Linked DNA regions of Xenopus tropicalis. The protein of the gene in region 1 interacts with the protein of each later gene in a pairwise test. Links are inferred from orthologs where the notes say so. Each region holds a gene or a part of one and is shown on either strand. Other genes may lie near its edges. The genes, in order: wdr6, ptpn3 and g2e3.

Region 1 (5,048 bases):
CTGCTGATTGCACCCATTACAGCGCTGGAGTTTGTTGGCGACCATCTCCTGTCTGGTAGGTTGTAGTATAAATACAAAGTTCTAAGATTTAGGTAACTGACTCTGCTATATGGGAAAGAATATGAGAAGGTTAAACTGGGTTATGGCTGCAGAATTGCTGCTAAAATTGAATATTTAGCAGTAAAAAAAAAAAAGCAGCTAATACATTTGCACTTTAGCATCTGATGGAAACCCTATAACCAAGGATCACATCTGAGGCTAGAGAGTGTGGTTGTAGTGAAATAAAAAGAACCTGCAAACCCTGGTTCCTTGTTCTTGTTGTGGGTTCATCTTTCTTGCACACCACAGAGAAGAACTTCTTTATTGCACAGTTGACCCATTAAATCCTTGTTTATTCACTGAAAGCTTAAGGTTTCACCATTTCAAAGAGCGTTACCCAAAGTTGGTCACACTCCTCTCTCTTTTGCTATTCAATTCCTACTCTTTCTTTACAGCAAATGTTTTAATTTCCAACTTTTTACCTTTAAAGGATAAGTTAACCTTTGAATAAGTAAATGTAAAGTTGATGAGAGTGCTATCCTAAGCACCTTTGCAATTCATATTTATTATTGAATAATATTCATTATTGATGATGGTTGGAAACTGACCAGCAGGTGGTGCTGTTGTAGCAAAATTCTTTATATTAACAGTACATATTTCCATTAATTTCTTCAAATTAAAAATAAATTAATAATGCAAATTGCAGAAATGATTAAAATAGCACTTTTATCAATTTTATATTCACTTATTAAAACAACAATGGGTGGCACATCCAGCTCAGTTGTCTAATGTCTTCTGTCAAAATGCATTGGGGCCTGTTTAGCTTAACTGTGGATCATAGTTTATGAGAACTGTAAGATGTAAATGTGTCAATTCAGCAGAATTGGCCATTCAGCTTGGCTTGTTACCAACCCCTTTTTGCAAGCTGCCCCTGGGGTTTTACATGGAGTGTGGGTAAATTATATTTTTATATTCATTGCAGGTGAAGGCCCTTATCTCACTGTGTATAGTTTGGAGAAAGATCACCTTATCTCACATAGGAAAAGGCAGAATGTTCTCCAAGGTTACACTATCCATGGCATAAAGCTCAATTCTTCTGCTACGGTTGAAGGTGAACCCATGATAGTTGCTGTGTTTGGAAGCAAGGGGCTTATCGTTCTGCAGCTGAACATCAGTGATGATGACGTGAGCCTAACAGAAATCTGTATGCTCAGAGAACTACATGACTGGATTTGGGATGTACAGTGGCTTGGAGACTGCCTAAAACCAGCAGCGTACCTTGGTTTAGCCCTAGGCCACAACTCCGTGGCTCTTTATGATTTCTTAAGTGGGAAGGTTCTAAAAGAGGTCCATTGTGCTGAGAAATGCATCTTGTACTCTGCTTGTTTCTACGGTCACAGCTGGGAGGAACTGGTGCTGGTTTCCGGGACCGTTTTTAACCAGCTAGTTGTTTGGGGAGTGTCAGATCCAACAAATAAAGATGGACGAACAGAACCAAGGCAAAGGATAAGCGGCCACAATGGTGTCATATTTAGCATCTTTTATAAAAAGAAAAGAGGTCTTTTAGCTTCCGCCTCTGATGACCGCAGTCTTAGGATTTGGGATGTCGGCGACCTTGTGGCTAAGAGTTTTGATGTCAAGTGCCTTCTTGTGTTGTATGGGCATCAGTCTCGAGTGTGGTCAGTAAAGCTGCTTCATGAAAACATTATCAGCATAGGGGAGGACTCCGCGTGCATCGTGTGGAATTACCAGGGGGACATTGTCAGTCATTTCAAAGGCCACAAAGGTCGAGGCATCAGAGCAGTTGCTGTACAAGGCCGGGAAGATTTGGTAGCTACTGGAGGGGCAGACTCTGCCATTAGACTCTGGCAAATAAATGGAAAGTCTTCTAGGTCCAACGAGCTCCTTTCATTACAATTTAGTTCATCTCATAGCCCAGGGGCTCCAAAGGCCATTGCTATGGTAGATACCACTTTGCTCATTGTTATGACAGATTTAGGTTCCATCTATACATACGATTTTATTTCCAAAAAGTGGAGTTTTATTCTCACAGATGAGAACTATAAATCCTACTGTCAACTTGATATTTATAAAACATCTAACAATGTCTTATGCGCTATTGGGAACATAACAGGGGAAATCAAGATTTTTAGTCTTTCCTCTCCTAAAATTTTCAAGGACCTTAAATGTCACCAGGGTAAAATACATAGCCTGAGCTGGGTAGCGCCTTTATGCCCTGGGTCATTCACTTGCGGTCTTTTCTCATCTGGCCCATACGGTCTGATGGTGTGCTTGGAGGTCACGTGTGTTTCTGGATATGTTGAATCTGTGGCAGAAAAGGGTCGGTTTGTTTTGCCAGCATGTAAGCAGAGGTGGCATACCAGTGTGGCCTTCCTCCCTGATGAGGAATTCATAGTGTGTGGGGATCGTAGAGGCTCATTAATGTTATTTCCCATGAATGCCACAAACAGAGGACAAGACCTCTTCCAGGGGGCCATTCAGAGTGAAAGTGGTGCCTTACATTTGAAGGAGAATGTAGATGATTTTGTAGGTGAACAAAGACCCAACTGTCCCTCAACTGCCTGCTCAGTGCTATCTGTGGAGGGTCCTGTTTCACTTTTGTTTGGCATTCATGGCAAGTTAGGGGTAACATCCATCAGTTGCCACAGTGGGTTTGTGTACAGCACAGGGCGGGATGGATTTTACCGTCAGCTGAAGGTAGAGAGAGGCCAGCTAACTCTGCTGCGCAAACTTAAGTCCTGCAAGGGAATGGAATGGATAGAGCGCCTGTCATTTACTGCTGATGGCAATTTGTTAGTGATGGGTTTCCATGCCACTGACTTTGTGGTTTGGAGTACAAGAACCAATGAGAAGCTTCATTGTGTCCCATGTGGAGGAGGGCATAGGTCATGGAGTTACAGAAAAGAAGAACACACTGAGGTATTTGCTTATATCAAGTCTTGTGATATTTTTGCCTATTTGAGCCACCCGGTTGGGAAAACCCAAAGCATATTAAAAGAGCCAGTGCATGGCAGAGAAATAACCTGTGTCAAATACGCGGGGTCCCTTAAAACTTACGAGCACCTACATGTTTTATTAACAAGCAGCGAAGACACCACTGTGAACATATTATGCTTCAATGCGGCAACAAACAGTCTGTACCAACTTTCAACAATTAGCGATCATATCTCTAGTGTAAAAGCCCTGGCTTTAGCACAAACTAAGCCTTGTTTCCAGCAGGACAGCAGCCTATCTGCCGTGCTGTTCAGTGCAGGAGGGAGGGCAGAGATAGAGTGCTATCATATACAGATTAACCAAGGCAAGGATGAAGAAAGTGTCTTGTGCCAAGTAATCCACCTTGCGTCCCACAGACTGGATGAGCACTGGGACCGAATGAAGAATAAGCACAGACTTGTCAAGATGGATCCAGAAACCAGGTAACTTGTCCAGTCATCTCATCAAGCCTCAGTGTGTCACTATAGCGCATCTGTTCATTTATAGTTAGCTGATTCCATCATAGAAATATATTTAATAGGGAATTTCACTCTTTTCCAAGATGCAGTTTTGGTAGTGATGCTTACAGTGTTAAAGGCACGGTTATTGCCTGTCAATGGCATTTGAGGCCTAGGGGCAAACAAATAATAGTCCTACTTCATCCAGTTCAAAGGGCCACCAAAGTATGAACTTTGCAACATAGTTAAACAACAACAAATAAATGTAAAATCTGTTGCCTTTAGCATGTGTGGCAACTATGACCATGATGAACGAGTGTCTTATAGTGGATATTTATAAGGAAGAAATGGGACCACAATTTCTGTGTTTTAATTAAATAAAATGTGCAGCATTTATGAAAGGAAAGATTTTGATACATTATATGTACTTCTCATTGTGGGCGGTAGGTGGCGCTAATGATCAGTCTAACTGTAGTAATAAAGTCAATGGCCCTGTTGGTTACTGTGAGCCCACAGATTGATTCCTGACAAGCAGAAACACTTATCAGGTGGTGCTGCACTGTGTAGCCTTCTGTTGGAAAATTTGGACATTGGGTCAAGTTACATAAAGTCTAAATTGCTCTTTAGAGCTTACAATCAAAGCTTTCCTTAAAAGGTGTATGCTTTTAATATTATAGACTTAGAAACTGCCTCCCATTGTGCCATTGCCCTAAGAGACTGAGGTGCCAGAAGTGGTTTTATAAACTGAACTACTGCATTGTTTTCTAAATCAGTTCTTCAGATACAGTGAAGTTCTGCTGCAATAGCAATGTATTTAACATCTTCTAATGTTCCATCCATCCTTTCAGGTACATGGCAATCACAGTGGTTGGTGAGGAGGTTCGTGACAACCCACCTTCCAGTTTGGTGTTTCTTGCTGCAGCCTGCAGTGATGGATCTGTAAGGTGTGTACTACACTGGCATCTGGTAAATAACTGACAAAAGGGGTTTTAGGTCCCCAAGTTTGTCCTCAGGTCCCACCAAATAGTGCACTATTGTACAGGTGAACCTATCAGATTGTATTCACTTATTAAACCATGTCTGATGTGAGTATATCCAGTATTTCTTGCTGGTGCTGACTGACTTAAAGAAAAACTATACCCCCAAACACTGTAGGTCTCTATAAAAATATATTGTATAAACCAGCTCATATGTAAAGCCCTGCTTCATCTAAATAAACCATTTTCATAAAAATATACTTTTTTAGTAGTATGTGCTATTGGGTAATCCTAAATAGAAAATTGCCATTTTAAGAATTAAGGGCCTCCTGCTGGGATCATTGGATTCACATTGCACACAAACAAGCCAAGGCACACATACATGCTAGGCCCCATCAGCCAATGAATGGGCAGAGTTCTGCCTTTTGCTCCCACACTACTTCCTGTTACAGTCAGAGCTGCATTATTTCCTGTCAGCTGATCTCTGAGGGAGCACACAGCCCATCACTAAATGGCGGCTCAAGGGAAAGGATGTAAAAGGGCAATATTTACTGATATATATATATTCCCAGTTTGGCCA
Region 2 (5,781 bases), on another chromosome or scaffold:
TTGCAAACACCTGCCTAGAAATATCATAAGGAATGTAATTCTACTGTACAGCCAACTATGGCATTATAAAAGACTAACGTGTAACATTCTCTAACTGACATACAATACTGCAGGGAAGGTAACTAAAATCATAAACATGCTATATAGTTAATAATAAGGGTGGCTCACCTTTAAATTATCTTTTAGTATGTTATAGAAATGCCTATTCTAAGCAACTTGTCCATTGGTCTTCATTATTTATTTCTTATAGTTTTTAAAATACTTGCCTTTTTCTTCTAACTCTTTGCAGCTTTCAAATGGGAGTCACAGTCCCCAGCAGCCAAAAAACTATTACTTGGTGAGGCTACAGTTTAATTGTCAATGTTAATTGTTTTTAAATTTAGGTCCTCTCTTATTCATTTACCATCCTTTCATTCAAATTGCTCCCTGGCCGCTAAGGTAAATTGGATCCTAGCAACCAAAAAGCTGCTTAAACTACAAACTGCAGAGCTGCTGAACAAAAAGTAAAATAACTAAAAAAACTACAAATAAAAAAAATGAAGACCAACTGCAAATTGTCTCAGAATATTACTCTCTACGTCAGTGATCCCCAACCAGTGACTCGGGGGCAACATGTTGCTCCCCAACCCCTTGGATGTTGCTCTCAGTGCCCCCAAACCAGGTAGTTATTTATGAATTCCTGACTTGGAGGGCAAGTTTTGGTTGAATAAAAACAAGATTTCCTACCAAATAAAGCCCCTGTAAGCTGATAATAGCCAATCACAGCCCTTATTTGGCACCTCCATGAACTTTTATGATGCTTGTGTTGCTCTCCAAGTCTTTTTACATTTGACTGTGGATCACGAGTATGAAAGGTTGGGGACAATAATTAAACACATTATTCAGTGAGAAACACAACCATTTATTGACTCAGAATTTAAATACAAAATTCAAAAAACAAAACATACTATACCAAATGGAAGGTACATCCCATGCTACATGGCACCCTCTCTCCTTCCTAACCCTGCTCTACGTCATACTAAAAGTAACGATTTTTCACTGAAGTTTTGCGAAACAATTCTCCAATGGCGAAATGCAAAAATTCGCTGCAAATCCATGCCTGACGAGAAAATTCGCTCATCGCTATTCATGTGGTTTGTCCCACATTATTAGCAGTCAGATAAAAATAATGGCATGGCAAAACCATTACATTGATATAACTACAACTATACTATAACAAGATTTGTGAATAATCACATATTGTAGTATTTTAGTAGCAGAGAATCAAACAATTAAAGGTATAGCTAACACTGAATATCTACCATACGTTTAATTAGGGCATTTTCACAACTTCATCAGCTGGGATTAAAGAAAAAAGAGTAGAAAACAATACAAACTGTACATATAAGGTGAAATGGAACTGCAACTGAACATAATTCTAGCGAGTGACTGTCTGCTCTGATTAGGATACCCATGCTAATGCACTGTGCCTGTACATGTAACAGCAGCACATAACCTCATGCTCCTCACGGAATGGCAGAAGGTTTAGAGTGACACTCAGCTTAGAGCGCTAGAGATTCCACCAGAACACAGTCAGCAGCACGCTCGGGCAGAAGAATGAGCCTGGGGGAGTGCAATCTACATTCTGTTGATATATTTTCTTTTGGAGAGCAGCTCAAGAGGCTCAGGGGAGGATCCAGCTGATGTCACACACAGAGGAGGGCTGAGAAAAGGAAAGGAGAAGCCATCAAACAGACGAGCTTTTTCCCTAAATGGATTACACTAGATATTAGTACTGAGAAGGCTGCTGTTAGGCTAATCAATGATAATAAAATATACATAGACAGCCTGATAGGTGGAGCCCCGCACCGACAAGAGGAAGGGGGAAGGTGGAGAAAGAAAGGAGGAGGCTTGTGTGTTGGAGTGGGACAGCAGTGCAGAGGTCTGGCTTCCTGTAATAGAAAAGAAGAAAAAGGGAGATATACCACCACCTGCTTTTTTTGTCAGGATCCAGAGGACGATACAAAAACTGCCCTGGATTTGTCCTTTCGGCTGTGGCAGGAGTGTCGGGCTGTGCTGGGTTGGCCAGAGCGATTCGGGAGGAGGATCTGAATGGTGCAGGTAAATCACTGCAGTAGGAATAGACAAGGCGCTGGTGCTGCACGGAAGCAACAGACTGTGCCTCGGTCACAATTGCGCACTGTAGGTGTGAGTCAGCCTGTCATTTCCCCCACGGGCCATACTGAGGGGCTTGGCTCGTCGCCTACCTGCAGGCTGGTGCTAACACTGCGCACACGATTGCTTAAGATGTTTAGAGGAAAACAGTATGTATTATTAAGGAAAGCTGTGCATAGAATTATATCTGTAATTGTAATCACACCCAAATGCTAAAATGATATGTGAAAAGAACAACACACTGCTGTAAAAGTTTTTTCTCTCAAAGTGGTACCGTACTCTGTTTCTGTTTGGCAAATTACATGCCTCAGATTTTAGTACGTTTCAGACAAAGTCATATTGTGTTCTGGTGGCAGTATGTGTGTATATATGTTCTGTGGTATAGACTTAGCAGTTGGGCCATATTATGCGCAGTAGTAGGGAAGTGACAGGTATGGGAAGGCCCTGCCAAGCCTCTCCTCTCCTGAGCCAACATAACTTGCTCAGCAATCTGACTTTGGTAGTTTCACCACTGACTTTATAGGGATTGTTGAGACAACAAGGATTGCTCAGTGAACAAGACAACTGTAGCCAAGGTTTGAAGAAGATGCATTTTTCTTACTTGAATTAAATTTCATACATTATTATTGTTTCCATACACCATATTTCAGTCACTTAATCAAAATACACTTTCATATTCAATAAGTACACTTTGTTATATTTAAAGTCATGTAAGTCCTGTTATGTCCCTTACACTCATGTGCCCCCCTTACTGGCCTTAGCCCTTTAATTAAAAGACCTGGTTAGGTTTGGGAATGTAACATAGTATTAGTGGCTTGCTTGGCTTTATTTTACATTTATTTAAAAGTGTTGTTATGAACATCAATATTTATCTTAGTGTAGGGATGTTACTTCCTTTTTATAAATTCTCATAGTATATATTTTGTTTAATCATGATATATAGCATATGCTGTATTGTATCTTGAAAGATCCATGTAAGAAGGGTTTTTGGTGTGAGAGAGATTGTAATTGTCTCTCTTGTCAAAAAGTTTTTCCTTTACAGGCATTGACAATTTAATCCAGTCACTTTGTTCCCAATGACAGTTTCTGTAGAGCCAATTAGTACAGAGTGTACTATATTGAGCCTTTATTTTTTCATTTAGAATTGATATAACTTTAAGATGCTCACTGATGTGTAAGTGAGAAATAAATATCAAGCAACAGTGGTGGCACAGCACTGGGTCAGAAAAAATGGCATTTGTCTGTGATGGATTAAGTGCACGTCAGTTGCATGTGTAGGCACAACATGCAGACAGTGAGCCCTGGAAGTTACTCCTTTTCAAGGCAAGTTTGTTGTGTGGTTTGCACTTTGCACCTCATGCAGAAGTGTAGAAGCAACCATCCTGTTTGCACATGTAGATGTTGAAGGGGTGTGTTGTTGCAAGTCCTTTTGTATTTGAATGTGTGCAACTTTATGCTTATTAAACCCTAGATCTGCGTAACAGATCTTGCCAAACTGGTGGATGTGATCTACTTTGACTTTGCTAAAGCATTTGACACAGTAAACCACAATAACAATCAATATGGTTTCTGTAGACTGCTAAAAAATAATTGCTGATTGGGTTTCTACTGACAGTTGAAATTTAGCACCTGCTTTTATAATTCATTGTGCTGGAGTTATTATAAAAAATTAAAATGGGCCATTTTTCAGAAGGTTGTGAATAGAAGTTTAAATGGCAATTCATAGATGTTCCTTTTCATTGCAGAATTAGACCTAGACCTAAACTGTAAGCAATGTATCACAATACATCTACATTTATACATCTTAACCCAGAAATTCAGTAAATTAGCACTGAGGCTCTCAAACTTGTACAGGAATTAGACCTGTTATCCAGAATGCTCGGGACCTGTGGTTTTCCGGATAAGGGATCTTTCTGTAATTTGGATCTCCATAACTTAAGTCTGCTAAAAATCATTTAAACATTGAATAAACCCAATAGGCTTGTTTTGCATCCAGTAAGGATTAATTATATCTCAGTTTGGATCAAGTACAAGGTACTGTTTTATAATTACAGAATTACAGAATAATTACAGAATTATTTTCTTATAATGGAGTCTATGGGAGATGGCCTTTCCATAATTCGGAACTTTCTGGATAATGGGTTTTCAGATAAGGGATCCCATACCTGTAGTATGTTACACTTTTAGTACAATCTTATGTCTTGTGGATATTAGTTGCAACCTAAAATAGGTAAAATCTGTTGAAAATAGCCATTAATAAAGGTTCATGCTGCAGAGTAGGAATCATTCTATTGCTTGAATTTGTTTATCAAATATAAAGATACTAATTAAATTAAAATCTGTGAAGTGAAATATAAGCAACTACAGCAGGCCTGACAATAAAGAGAACCAATTAAATACATTTGATTCAAAACATTTTCTTTCTTTTTTTTTTTTTTATTAAGGTGTTAACATCAGCAATATAGAGATAGAAAAGGGGACGAAAAGAGGGAAATATACAAGGCTTATACGAGCCTGGCACATTCATTAAAGGAGAAGGAAAGGCTAGTAAAGAGTTAATCTCAAACTGCAGGCATACCTTCAGTTGTCTCAATAGTGCCCTTAAGTCTCCCCATATTTCACCTGTTCAGAAGATCTGAAGCCAAACATGAAGAAAAAACGCTGAGCTGTGTAAAGAAAGTTCCCATAATCCTCGCTCCTGCACAGACACCGAGACCAAACTGAACATGCTCAGTTAGTAAGCCTATGAGTCAACTTCCTGCTGATTGGCTCAGATCCACATTCCTAAGGGGGGGGAGTGAGTTCTTAGCATTCTTGAGGGAGGGGGGAGCAGGAAAGAGCAGAGAACAGAAAGCTGCGTGTCTGTGGCACAGGAATTACAGATACAACTAATCTTTTTTTCAGAGAAGTCAGTGCAGCGTTTCTGTGAGTGCTTATGGCTGTATTTACATAGACCTTTCTGATAAAGCTTACTTAGTTTTTGCCTTTCTTTCTCCTTTAAGATTGTACTCTTAACCAGGGCTGGATTTACAAATTTGCCGCCCCGAGGCCGCCCCTGGACACACGCCCCCCCCCCGAGTGCGCATGCGTGCGTGACAGTGCGGGGGGTCTGCGAGCGCGCATGCGCGAATAGCAGGGGGGGGGGTCACAAGCGCGCGTGCGCCATAGGCCAAACTTGCATATGGAGCAGTGGGAGAAGTCCGCATTGCTCCGTATGGGAACACAAATTTTTAGATCTTTGGGTGGCGGGGCGGCATGCCGCCACCAGGTTTCTGCTGTCCTAGGCCCGGGCCTTTGTGGCCTCCCCACAAATCCGGGCCTGCTCTTAACCATGGGTCCCACATCACATTGAACTTATCTGGACAGCCTCTGGACATATATAGCAATTTTTGTTTAGGTAGCACATTGCTAATTAGTTTCTACTAGAAGGTGAGGGGCTACAGTAGACTTTCATTTTAGTACTTAAAATAATAATTGTAAGTAGCACAAATGTTGGTATGATGATAACCCCAAGTCCTCTATCACCCCCAGCAAACAGGAAGTCTCAGACTTTGGATCATTCTCAGTCCTCCATATAGATATTTAAAAGTGGATACTACCTGGAGTTGCTCAGGATGCAATTGTGGA
Region 3 (5,523 bases), on another chromosome or scaffold:
ATTATTTAACCCTTTGTCATGCAAGCAGTTTTCACAGTAACTTCTGGGTCATGTATCATAATATAGCAGGTAACACTGGGCTGCTCCATGCTTGCAGTGATACAAGAAGTGGGAGCAGAAACAAGATAATGAATCATAATAAGACAAATGGCAAGACAGGAGTAATGCCCTTAACCAAAATGTCCATACAGAGTTTACTACAATTACACCGGCTGATTATAAATGCTTTCCAAGGCCACATATGATATGGATGCTTTTCTATTGTTCTGCTTGTCTAGGCAAACAGCAGGAAGTGACTCCTTTTTAATTCACTTCTGGCAATGCATTTTTTGGTATATTGTAGAATTCTGGGCCAAATAAATTGAATCGAATTGAGTCCACAACACCAAGCCTTATAGCTTAGGAAAAAAATTATTTCTAACAATAAAAACTTACAGAGTCAGAGCAGATACAAATGACTAGCAACAGAAGAGTGACTGGAAGGCAGATAAAGGCTAACCAAAGTCTTTGTGCTTCAGTGGTGGTAATCTGATAGCCTTGCCCACAGTTGGAGCTCAAATTGTTCGGACCTTCTCGGTGGTAGGAGTAAGGAATGAGCTCTCTCACTCAAAATTTCAGCCAGTTTATATACAGATCTTAGAATAATAAACCGCTTTACATAATATATCCAACTGCCGAATAGTTAGGCACCCCCAAGTGACTTAGATCGCTTACCTTTTACCCCGGGCTGGTGCCCCTGTTAGGAGAAAACCGCACCAGCCCGGGGTACCTGCAGCGCTTCCTTCTTCCTGTATCGCCGCGCGCGCATGCGCAGTAGGGTGAATAGTGGAACTTTAACAGAGAAGTCGGCTTTTCACTCTACTGTGCGCCTGTCATTTAGTCGTTGTAAAACAAAGCAGGAGGGAGGAAGCGCTCCGCTGCAGGTACCCCGGGCTGGTGCTGTTTTCTTTTAACAGGGTCACCAGCCCGGGGTACAAGGTAAAGCGATTAAAGTCACTTGGGGGTGCCTAATATTTTGGCACCCCCAAGTGACTTTGCCTTTCCTTCTCCTTGAAGTCCCTGTGTGTGTAGTACCCTTTCTTTATATATATATCATGAATATATGACAAAAACAACATATATCTATTTCCCTATACATACCATTTAAATATTTCAACATATAAGATAAAATATATGTACCCCCTTTGCTCTTTAATATGTATAAATTAGCCAAAAATATTCTATTGTGCCTAAAGCTCAGGGTTATAATGACCCTTCTCACATATCCTAAAATAACCTTTTTGACCCAATAGTTCTTCATCAGAGAATTTTGACGTATCTCCTATTCTGTAGATCTCTCTCCAGACCCCCAATCCTCATAAAACAGGGATGGTGGGCTACAATGCACAGGCCCAGACTGGCAATCTGTGGGTTCCCTGTGTGTAATTGTGTACATTGTAAGATTGTACAGCGCTGCGTACCCTTGTAGCGCTTTATAAATAAAGTTATACATACATACATTCTGGCAAATAGTCAGAGGGGCTGCTGTAAGATGCCAAAGTCACTATTTATTAGGCTGTTCGGGCCTCAGTGTAATTGAAGTGTCAGGGTCTATATTCAATCCCAGTCCAAAAAGATGGGCTGGGGATGTTCTTTTCTTCATAGGGCTAATGTCCATCAGTGCAACAGCTCTATACGTTACGTACACTAATGTTCAGTGTAACTATGAAACAAGGGCATTATAACTACCACTTACAAATGTCTATACGAATTAGAAGCCTCTAGTCACAACGGAAGAAGAAGCATTATGCCACCACCCACAATCCAATTTTAGTCCTACATTCCTAAACTAATGTAAAAAAACAACGTTATGGAATGCTGATATCATCAACTGCAGCGACGCAAAGACGCCTAACAACAAACCTAATCGTAATGGTCTCTCAAATGAGTCGTGTTTGCGTTCCAAATGGCACCGGAAGTCATGTACACAAAAAAAGGCATTGAAAGCGAGGCTTGAGCGCAAAGGGAATCCCGCCTTCTGATGACGTACAGGTGCCTCCTCCAATGGTAATTCCGTGTTGTTGAGAGGGTTCCTAGATGGTGCCGGATGTTAGGGTTTGAATTTGTGGGCAGTTTTAAAACATCGATCGTGGGAAGTGTAAGTTGAAGGTATAGGAACAGGAACGGAACCGAACACCGCAATCTTTGGAATTGGAAGGCAGCGCAGTGTGGCGCATTCAGGTACTGTACTGGGTATGTGGCTGGATCTTTGTATTGGGACGTGCTGGCTGCCACTTAGCGCGCAATCGGCCTTCTATGTGTCCTCTCGGGTTTATGTGGCACTTTATGTATTTATAAATCCGTTCTACGGACATGGCTCCGTCAGAAACACAAACACACCAAGTATATGCTGATGCTCCCATAGTAACGTGTGTGTTTACATTGAGTTGTAAACTTTATGCCTGTCCCATTCGAGCCTTGTTTGTTATAAGTGGGAAACCAGCCTGCCTCTGAGAGTGTGTGAGCTTGGAGACAGCTAAATGGGAATAAAACCTTATTAAACATTACTAGTGCCCCTCTGGGCATTTTTTAAGGGTTAGTTCATTATGTCTAAATTCCACAGGACTTTCCAATTAGAACATATGGTGCCCTCTGCCCCCCCCCCCCCCCCATCCTGTCATGGTATTGCCCTTGGCTTGTTAGTACTGAACAGCACAACTATGCCCAGCCAAGTACAGTCAGTGGGCACCTGAGAGTGGCAGAGGCAAAGCCCCATCATGCTACATTATAGAATATTGTTTTATACACTAATATAGTGTAAGAGTGCTCTTTACCCAAGATGTCAGGCAAGACTTACTGTGCCTCCATATTCCCAAATGTTTTGAAGGTGTTTGTAAATGGGATCGAGGCATAGCTTATGGTAAATGATAGTTTAATTAACTGTATTCTGTTAATGTAGCAGTGCAGTATAAGAATAAATGTAATAGAATGTTTGGTAGAAACTCACTGAGAACCATTTGCATCTAGGCCAGACATCTGTGTGCTAATTGTATTTGCTAACATTTGGATATGTATGCAGCTTTTGTTTGTATCAGTCTCCTGCAACACAATGCAGGCACATTATGACAACACGGGAAGAATATAATCAAGTGTATAGATATGCATGGAATCCATGAATCCACCCCATGTTTGGGATGAGAACTGCCTGTGTTAATGGTGTCAAGCAGTTACCAATGAAGTGAGAACTAGTAGGTGCGGTTTCAGGCACTTCTCCAGATTGTGAAACAAGGCAGCCAACAAAATGGCCCACAGGGCTCATATTAATATCAGGAACCTGCAAGAAGCACAAAGCTAAAATTTGGTTGCAGCGAGTTACTGCACGAGGGCAGACTTTCCCAACTTGAAATGAGCCACTGTGTGCTCCTTAGGGTGTTTTAGTGTGCCAAGAAATAATAACCTTTAAATTAACACTTTGGAAAAAGAAGTACTGAAAGCAGCACTTCCATACAGTTCCTCTCAGTGAAGCTGCTCTTTGCTTTTTTTTTTTTTTCCAGACTCCAAACATTATTAAAAAAGTGGCATAATAAATACATGGAAGGTTTCCAAAGCCAGTGAGCCTAGCAATCAGATTTACATTTAAATTCCAACCTGGTGAGCTCCAGACAAAAATATCATTCATTCTATGCACATGTTGTAACAATGCATGGAGCTGCCACTTTGCTTTCTTAAAAGACAGCAAGTAAGCTGGGTTCAGGGGAGGTGCAGACTGAAATGCAAATGTAAACGCTAATATCCAAAGACTGTGTCTCTATTGACAGACCTCTATTGCTTGGGGAACTGCATATTTAGGGAGTCGGAGTGAAAAGGGTATGCTGGACTGGGGCTGGAGTAAGATTATTTTCAAAATGTCACTTTTTCTCTATTGTACCACTTCCCATTATCCACTGTTCTACTGCTGTTCTTTCCATTCATTACTACTTTTCTGCAGTGCCCACATAGATCTGTTTTTCTTTCCAATTTAGTGCCTGATGTGGCCAGTGTTGACTTATCTCTGCTTTCCTTTATTGCTCATTTTGCTTTTTTCTGCTGTGCTCCACTAAGTAATGTTGACAAAGCACAGGCAGGGGAGCCAGCACAACATGCAGCTAAAAGCTGAGGTCAGGAAGCAGCACTAGGTACATGATTCTATGATGTGACCAGGGCCTATCTGTTTTGTGAGATACTGCTGACCAACTGAACAGGTGTATACATTAACATAAAGTTCATCTCCTAGGGGTATATGACAAACAGTAACCCCAATTGTTAGCAGTATATGTCAACCTTACAATGCAGTGGTGCTTTTTCATCAACTTGACTTGTTATAGTCTGCTTGTAAAATGTAGGCTAAATGTGTAGTCATAGACATCTTATTGATGCTTAAATGGTCAGAATCCACTTATATAGCACCAGAAAATTAAGCCGCTCTTTACAGTGGTATATCAACATTGGCAAACAAGGACCTGATGTGACATATGCTTAAATTCTCTTGCAATGCCATATTTATTTTTTTTTCCCCATCAGGTACTTTTAACCTGAGCTGCAAGAATGAGTCGGATCAGACGGAAGTCCTCAAAGAACCTGCGTAAGTATGATGCTCATATTCTCATGCTCCAGAGGCACAATAGACATAGCACATGTAAATCTCCATTCTGTATGCCTAAAGCAGAGCAATAGTGTTACTTCGAAATCTCAGAATAACTTAATTTTGTTATTTCTTCTTTTTAGCCTGCGTGTTTTGTGGCCTTTCAGATGACTGTGCTGAAAAATTTGGGGAGAAAAAGACCTACCCTGAACATGACTTGACCTTGCACTACTACTGTTTGGTAAGTTGTAATAAAACCTTGCCTGACATACAGAATATTACAACATAATTGCCCAAAAGGAAAACTATTATATTTCTACAAGGCCTGTTTTATAGAATAGGACCTAAATGCTCTTTTTTTTTTTTACTAGAGCAATCCGTTTTGTGTCAAGTTATTTTCACCTAAAATCTCATTACTTAAATGTTTCTGCCCACAATGCTGTTAAATATAATGCACTTAACTACATTAACTCATTTCATATAAGGCTGGCTAACAGTTATCCTAGTCTTTTTACCCCTTCCTCTTCACTGCCCTCTGTTCTTTTGCTTAGCATGTTTATTTTATCACTATGCATTGTGGTGTGTAAATAGTTTTACAAATAATACCTTTTGCCCCTGTTTAGCTCTTACATGTTTTATATTTATAATGATGACACTAGTGCAAGGTGCAGATAAGTTAATACAGTTTTCTTATTTTTTTTTTTTTCAACTGCTAATATGTATGCTTTACCTGTGCCTTGATTACGAAATATGAAAATACATCATGTAATGTGCTTTTTTTTCAGCTGCTGTCCAGTGGTATCTGGCAAAGAGGAAAGGAGAATGAAGGAATTTATGGGTTCCTTGTGTGTGACATTAAGAAAGAGGTTAACAGAGCAAACAAGTTGGTAAGAGTCCAGACCATATTATATTATAAAATCTTT

What was found.
Region 2: the proteins of wdr6 (region 1) and ptpn3 interact in binary tests that used the Homo sapiens proteins (3 or more experiments, as listed by UniProt). The two-hybrid records come from large-scale screens. The link is inferred for Xenopus tropicalis from reciprocal best matches to the Homo sapiens genes WDR6 and PTPN3.
Region 3: the proteins of wdr6 (region 1) and g2e3 interact in a two-hybrid assay, tested with the Homo sapiens proteins (2 studies listed by BioGRID and IntAct). The two-hybrid records come from large-scale screens. The link is inferred for Xenopus tropicalis from reciprocal best matches to the Homo sapiens genes WDR6 and G2E3.

The regions. Positions count from the first base shown.
Region 1 is NC_030680.2:136,673,792-136,678,839, forward strand, and holds part of wdr6 (WD repeat-containing protein 6), read left to right. Parts: coding exon 1-55; intron 56-1,021; coding exon 1,022-3,476; intron 3,477-4,339; coding exon 4,340-4,435; intron 4,436-5,048. UniProt on the Homo sapiens protein: Together with methyltransferase FTSJ1, methylates the 2'-O-ribose of nucleotides at position 34 of the tRNA anticodon loop of substrate tRNAs. Required for the correct positioning of the substrate tRNA for methylation.
Region 2 is NC_030682.2:75,075,775-75,081,555, forward strand, and holds the start of ptpn3 (tyrosine-protein phosphatase non-receptor type 3), read left to right. Parts: upstream 1-1,923; 5' UTR 1,924-2,100; intron 2,101-5,781.
Region 3 is NC_030684.2:113,027,260-113,032,782, forward strand, and holds the start of g2e3 (G2/M phase-specific E3 ubiquitin-protein ligase), read left to right. Parts: upstream 1-2,032; 5' UTR 2,033-2,220; intron 2,221-4,539; 5' UTR 4,540-4,563; coding exon 4,564-4,600; intron 4,601-4,743; coding exon 4,744-4,841; intron 4,842-5,385; coding exon 5,386-5,487; intron 5,488-5,523. UniProt on the Homo sapiens protein: E3 ubiquitin-protein ligase which accepts ubiquitin from an E2 ubiquitin-conjugating enzyme in the form of a thioester and then directly transfers the ubiquitin to targeted substrates. Essential in early embryonic development to prevent apoptotic death.